Schizosaccharomyces pombe: one gene and its partner. The protein of the gene in region 1 interacts with the protein of each later gene in a pairwise test. Each region holds a gene or a part of one and is shown on either strand. Other genes may lie near its edges. The genes, in order: SPOM_SPAC22G7.03 and sws1.

What was found.
Region 2: the proteins of SPOM_SPAC22G7.03 (region 1) and sws1 interact in a two-hybrid assay, tested with the Schizosaccharomyces pombe proteins (one large-scale study listed by BioGRID).

Annotation. Positions count from the first base shown.
Region 1 is NC_003424.3:729,808-733,376, forward strand, and holds SPOM_SPAC22G7.03 (uncharacterized protein), read left to right. Parts: upstream 1-2,120; 5' UTR 2,121-2,130; coding exon 2,131-2,841; 3' UTR 2,842-2,952; downstream 2,953-3,569. Other genes in the region: karyopherin Kap111, read left to right, coding at 1-878, 919-1,156, 1,197-1,381, 1,420-1,515, 1,562-1,743, 1,809-1,899; poly(A)-specific ribonuclease complex subunit Pan2, read left to right, coding at 3,073-3,090, 3,135-3,233, 3,278-3,444, 3,562-3,569.
Region 2 is NC_003423.3:1,493,288-1,496,845, forward strand, and holds sws1 (SWIM domain-containing Srs2-interacting protein 1), read left to right. Parts: upstream 1-1,542; 5' UTR 1,543-1,668; exon of another isoform or gene 1,669-1,730; 5' UTR 1,731-1,864; coding exon 1,865-2,494; 3' UTR 2,495-2,724; downstream 2,725-3,558. Other genes in the region: random septum position protein, DNAJ domain protein Rsp1, read right to left, coding at 1-1,266; aminophospholipid translocase regulatory protein Ivn1, read right to left, coding at 2,809-3,558.

The DNA of each region.
Region 1 (3,569 bases):
GTGATTCATTCAATAGTTACAGACGTGATTTGGGTGATCTTTTAGAAAGTTCTTATTCCATTTTTGGAGAAAGGCTTTATGCTATGTATATAACGACTATTGAGAATTTCTTCTCGGATGGTACAGGAAGCCCTCAATCATTAGAGGTTTCATTTTATTGCTTATGTTGTATTTTAGAGTACGACACCAATGACAGTGATACGTTAGATGCCTGGCTTACTCGGTTATTTGAAACGAGTTTTGCTATAAAGGCTTCGGCTTTCCAAAACCCGCAACTATTAAAAACCTGTTCTCAATTATTAAGCAGTTGCTCTTGCTTTCTTCAAAATCACCCTCAATATCTTAATATATCTTTGCCAGTTTTATTCGATGCCTTACACATTTCTGAAACTTCAATACAAATGACTGTCTCTCGTTCAATACACACTCTATGTACAACTTGTGCATCCCATCTATTAACTGAAATCGACGGATTCATGGCGGTGGTTGAAGAACTAACACCCAAGCTGGTATATGTACCTTCTGTGCTAGAAAAGATTTATAGCTCCGTTGGATATGTTACACAACGTATAGAAGATATTGAATTAAGAATCAGTTATCTGATGAGACTTTTAAACTGCATTCTCGCACAACTTCAACCAAGTTTATATCCTAATCTTGAAATATTCGAAAACGTTTTGAAATCCTGCCTCCAAAGCGTAGCCGGAGTGGCCTTAAGTCAGAGTCCAATTGGCGAAAGTCCAATAATTGATGTTGAGCAATCTACCCAGGAAACAACTTTTTGGCAGCAATCGTGCATTGCAGAATTTCAAGCAAAACTCATTTCCTTTTTGACCCATTCCGAGTCTATGGCGTTACAGTATTCCGACGTCGTTGGGGTAGGTGATCTGTTAAACCGAAAATACTAATATGATATAGTTAATTTGCAAGATTATGATTGCTGGTCTTAATGAAGTAGAGCCTTCTCCATTTTCATTGCCTATAGTAACTACCATTCAATACTTCTGTGACAGATTTACAGAATTTCCGGCAGCAGTTTTGCTAACGTTGGGATCAGCAATTTTGACATGTCCTTACGGCCAGACTGATATTATTGACAAAGTGCTAATTGATATGTGCTCATCGATTCAAAATTCTGTTGTTATAATCAATGAAGGTAAATAATTAGCAGCAATGTGCCATACTAACTAAAATAGAATCATTTATGAACAATATCGACATTACAGTCGAATTATATCACTTCTTTTCAATAATTCTTCAAAAACACCCCTCATTTTTAGAAACGATGTATCCAGATTTTACCCAACTTATTTTAAACCGCGCGATTAATTTGCTTGGCAAGCCTGAGAGATTGTTAGAATCAGCAGCCGGCCAATTTATTGTAAGTGATCATTATCTGTTAAAAATATTAACATTAAGATTTCATTCATTACGTCCGAAAAAAGCGACCTCCTAAACACTCATACAGATTTCGTGAATGCAATTCGAAGTCCTCTTATTGCTAAAATACTATTGGTAAACAATATTTATGCTTTTTTTGCAAACTAATACTGATTTATAGGGGTTCGGTGGAAATGCATCACGGAGCTCTTTACCGTTGCTTTCAGATATATTAGGAAAATTAAAGGCACAAAATTTCTCTGCGACAAGAGCATGCCTTACTCAGTCACTTGAAGAAGAAGGATTTCCTTCACGGAATGTTTCAAATGAGATCAAACGTCGATTTTTAACAGATCTTCTTAAGTAAGCATTATTTGTCGTTTTCATCACGTCTATGTAATGATTATCTTGTTAACAACAAATTCTAGGGCACGAATAAAAGACAAAGTAAAACAATTTTGGATACTTTGCAAAGGACTAGAAAGTACTCCTTATGGCAATTCAAGCTGGACCTTTTAAATCATGTAATAAATAAAATAGCTTGGTAGGAAACTGCCAAGCTACATAGTCTCCAGTTAATTAACTTTGTATAATAAAAGATAAGCAAAATGCTGCTTATTCTAAAATTTACGAGAAATAACATTCGTTTTTTTAAAGAAGTAAATAGGCTGAAATTTTTTGATCAAATTGGTTTTTAAGATTTTCGAGTATTTATTGAGCACAACACGTAAATTATCTTTATACTACTTAATGCAACAACTAATTAAAGAGCATTTTGGAAATGGGGGAAAGGTCAGGTCAACGAGCATTGAATACCCCATTTTTGTTCATTCTGGAAGTATCTCTGCTATGTTGCTTACTTTAGTAAATGCCCTTGAGTGCAATGATGTGGACGAAGGCGTGTTAGTATATCCAACAGGTTCGACTAATCCAATGGAAAACATTCTAAGAATGGAAAATCCATTTGATGGATTTTTAGCTAAGGAAGCTTATTCCATTCATTTTCAATCAGTTTTAGAACGAATTCAATTGATTCCTTGTTCTCATGTGGATGATTTAGAAAAAATAGTTGAAGTACGTTTAAAGCACGCAAAATTAATACTGGGAATAGCAGATATTTCCAAACTGCTAAAAATTAGGGGTTGCTTAAATGGACGTTACCTATCTAGGTATTTGATGCTTTGCTTACAAAATAGTAAAATACTTATAGTTTGTGAGACAGGAGGTTTACAAGAACGAATACCTATTATTGAAGATATTTCAATTAATGAGGATACACAACGTACCGTTAGCTTAGAAACTATTTATGCTACATGGATACCAACATTCTGGGAATCGAAAAGAAAATCGCATGAGAAAGATGAAGGACGATTAGTCGATCGAAGACACAAAGTTTTAGTAGATTGGCTTGCTAATACATGCTTTCGTGGCATGAGTTTAAAAGATCATTCTGCATTATAATTTTCATAACCAGGCGCTTAATATAATATTTAGTTCTAATGAAAAGGCATATAAAACATTGCAGATTATCAACTATATACAAATGTTTAATATAACTATTTAATATCTGATTGAAATCACAATCGTAGGTTTGTGTTGTATTACTAGTTTTCATTAGGTAAACCTGGCTTGCTATGACCAACACTTCAACTCCTAGAGAAAGAGGTTATAGTCAACTGTTTGAAATGAGAGATGGATGCGTGGAAAGAAGTAATTATTTTTATAATATTCCATTATAAATTTTAACAAATTAGATTACCAAAACAACTGAAAATGATGGTGTATCGACGTGTTCCTTAAGTTCTATTGCTTTTGATCCCTACTCAGAATTAGTATGGACTGGACATAAAAATGTAAGTTAGATTAAAGATTAATTATGAAACTAAGTAAATTCTAGGGTCAAATTAAATCTTCTTTCGGACCCTCACTAACATCGTATACTCAATTCATTGGGCATGAGGGTCCGGTGCACCAAGTATTACCACAGGAAAGGGGTGTATTTTCCCTTTCTAGTAAATCTTTACGATTGAGTAATCGCAAAGGAACAATAAGATGGAGATATCAGTAAGTATATCATGATATGCATTCTTGATCTAGTAGTTCCGTACCTTGTGTTCAGCGATCTATGATCATTTTGTATTCATGCTTTCTATGTTCAAAACATGCAGTACTAATCTCTAGGGATTCTG
Region 2 (3,558 bases), on another chromosome or scaffold:
AGAATAAGACGACCAGCGTCTCTGATACATTTCAAAGGAATTTAGATAGCTATCTACAGAGGCATTAGTCAGGTTTCTCGGTGCCTCTGGAGGGATGGGTGCCTGGATAGTTGGAACGGATGGAGGTTTGGGCAGCACTTTAGCAACTTCATCATCATCCCCTTCAATGGCAAGGGATCTCAGTATCGACTGAAGCTGGTCATCATACTCAGTCGAGTTAGATGTTGAATCGTTCTCTGCGGACAAGTCATTTAGCTGAGACCGAGTTTGATTTCGAGAAAGAGAAGAAGATTTAGAACGACTTAAGGGCTTAGGGGGTAAAGGTTTAGAAGTGGGATGTCTAAATGGAATTTCAGGTTTTGATGGTGAATTATTATCAGAATGCTCAAGTTTTATTTCAGGTGTGATATCAGTTTGATAAACGGATGGGTGCTCTGGAGTGTTTGGAGAAGTAAAAATAATAGATTCTTCAGATGTATCTTTAAAACGTTCATTATTTGATGAAGAAGAACTTCTTGGAGAGGATTTTGTTATTGAAGAATTTTCAACACCATTGGAATTCAAACCATTGGATATCTCAGACAACGGAGTATAGGTGCGTCGCTTTTCACGAAGCGATTCTAAATACAACTTGGCATTAAATTTATTATAGTTAGGGCCTTTAAAACGAGGACTACTAGAAATTGGATCCACCACGTTTTCAGTAGCATATCCATTCTTCTTAAAAATTGGAGACGTTTTTGGATGCAAATAACCAGATGATATGTAGCTTTTTGAGGTAGATACCTCTTTAAAGCTATTGTTCTTTTCCATTTTTCCGGAAGCGGAAAAAGATCGATGAAGTGAGAAGTTTGTGATATTGTTATCTTTCGAATCTACGTTTTCCCGGTCTTGTTTCTTCTTTTTTTCAGCAAATTTGGTAGCCATTGTGACACTAACCTTGGATGCAACTTTCGTGGAAATATCATTCTTTGGTCCACTTTTTTTTGGACGGAATCGCAGCACCCCATCAGGGCGACCGGCTTCTAGTAATCTTCTTTGATCAAATAACTCTCGAAGCTTTGGATCCTTTAAAACTTCATGAGCTTTTTGTATCAACTGAAACTGTGGAAGAACCTCGGCTTCCCGACCGGGGTTACGATCGGGATGGTATCGTAAAACAAGCTTTAAATATTGCTGTCGAATTTCGACATAACTACTGGTACTTTCCGCTCCAAGGATGGTGTAATAATCCACAAATTCATCATGAAACGCCGTCCTCGCCATTCACGAGCCTTTAAAATATGCGACACCTTTCTTAAAAAGATAAAAAAGTTTGAAATTGGTTTATAAAACTTTTAAATTTCACCCAAGTAATGAAACCTTTGTAACTAACCGATTTTTGAGGTTTTCCTGAAACTGCTCGAAATAGTGTTTTCGACTTAAATTAACTTGTAAAACGTTCGTTCCTTTTTCTTTATTTTCGCAAATATTAGTTAAGAAAAATAAAACGAGTTAAAAATTTTAACGATTAAACTCTACTTTGTATCTTCTATACTTGACTAGAGCAAACAAAGACACCCCTCGAATTTGTGATTTTTACAACTTCATTAGTTTATAGCTTTGCTACGTGTTTTCCGCTTATTAGAACAAGCGAAAGCAAAGCAGATTTTTGCTGTTTTGCTTTTGGTAAGAGTTGATGAACAAAGAAGTAGTGATACTTTGAAACGAATTTGCTAATCTTTTTGAAGAGCCTATTCAATCATCCAAACTTGTCAGCATAAGTCAATAAATTAGATTATTATCTTCATTGTCATCAATTGTGTTTTCTGGATGTTGTTTGAGCTTTATGTTTTGGGGCATTGCTGAGTCTTAATAAACTTCAATGCAGCAGGGTCATTTTACTTCGAATAGTTACCACAGTAAAACTTTAAATAGTTCATCTCTACCTGTATCTTCAAAATTTTCTCACACTAATGATCCTGATGTTGAAGGCGTTGACAATGATAGTTTCTCCAAGGCATTGTGTAACAAAGATTTAGATCCTTCTTCCACTATTCGTTCAGTTATAAGCTCTTTATTAGATTCTTTACAAGATAAAGCGCTCCAACAGTCACCCAACACCTCTTTGTCAAAATTACTGTTGGAAGACCAGGATTTTGGAAGCTTGTGGTTGTCATTAAGTTTTATATTTTGTAACTACTGGCAACCTGCTATGCTGATTTTGGATTCTAAAAGCATTCATCCACTACCATTAACCGATGGTGAAGTTTTACATCGATGGGAATGTGAAGTGGATTCGAATAATAAAACTACGATTGATTTGAAGTATTGGTATTGTTCATGCTCTCAATTCTCTTACAATGCTTTTAATAGCTCGAGATCTTTTGACGAGCCAATGCCCAAAAATGAGCAAGAAACCTGGGGTGGAAGATGTCTTTCCCACCACCCTACGATTTGTTCCCATATTTTAGCTGCTTCGATTTTACGTGCTTGCCATAATCTGGTAATTTAAAAAACGTTAACCCAATTCGTTTAATTGTGACTTGACTATGATATTTAACAGTAAGGGCCGTTTAAATTGCTTTCTCAATGTAAAAGAAGAAAATACGATATGATATTCATACAACGTGATTAAAAAAAAATGTCTTATTCAGATTATGTTATGCTTTAGTTATGATGCAAGTTCATGAACCCTGAACTGGTATAAAAAAGAGAATATTGTAAGTGGAAGACGAAGCTAGCATAAGTGATTAAATGGAAAGTAAATTCCAAAATGTTCATGAAGTAGTATATGTAAAAATAAATGGTAAAGATACTCAAATTCGTTTATGAGCTTTTTCCTCTATTCCAAGATAGATATCTTGGATCGCCTACGCGTCTAGGTTTGATCAAGCAAGCAATACTAAGGATTACACCGCTCGCGGCGCAGAGCCCACCGATAACAAAATAAAGAATTCCTAAAAAGTAGTTCTTTCCTCCAATAACGGATGTTGTTGAAAACATAATAGTTTTCGTTCCTTTATATTCTGTGACAGGAAAGTTATAAGTGATATTCATTTCATAAATGCCAGGTTGAAGTGCAGTAGTAACGTTTCGAAGAGCAAGTTTGCTGAATGTTGGAAGAGCAGCAGCTCTCATCCAAATTTGAAAGGCATCCCATGTAGAAACATCGGGAATATTGTCGTCAGTATATCCATTGGGAAACATTTTTGCCCAATTTGGAGGTGGAACAATTTGGGAAGCATTGTACTTAGTTTTTTTGTATCTTTCTCTATCTTCCGGCCACGCAGTACCATTTGTAGTCATATTGTAAAGTCCAAGGGAATTTGAGCTATCAAAGGATTCGTATCGTAGAAGAGAAGAATAGCTATCGTTGAAAAGCGAGTTTGCGATAATGCCACAGGGGTAATAAGGTTTCCCTTCCTCATTTGCTTCTAACGGCTTGCAGAAACCATAGCTCTTCAGTTGTGCAACAGTTCGTGCTTCGCCTAGCAACTGAAACATATCGGCGCTAACAGTATATCGACGATGGTTTTGATAAAAATTTTTGAGACGATAAAAAGCAAACACGGGACT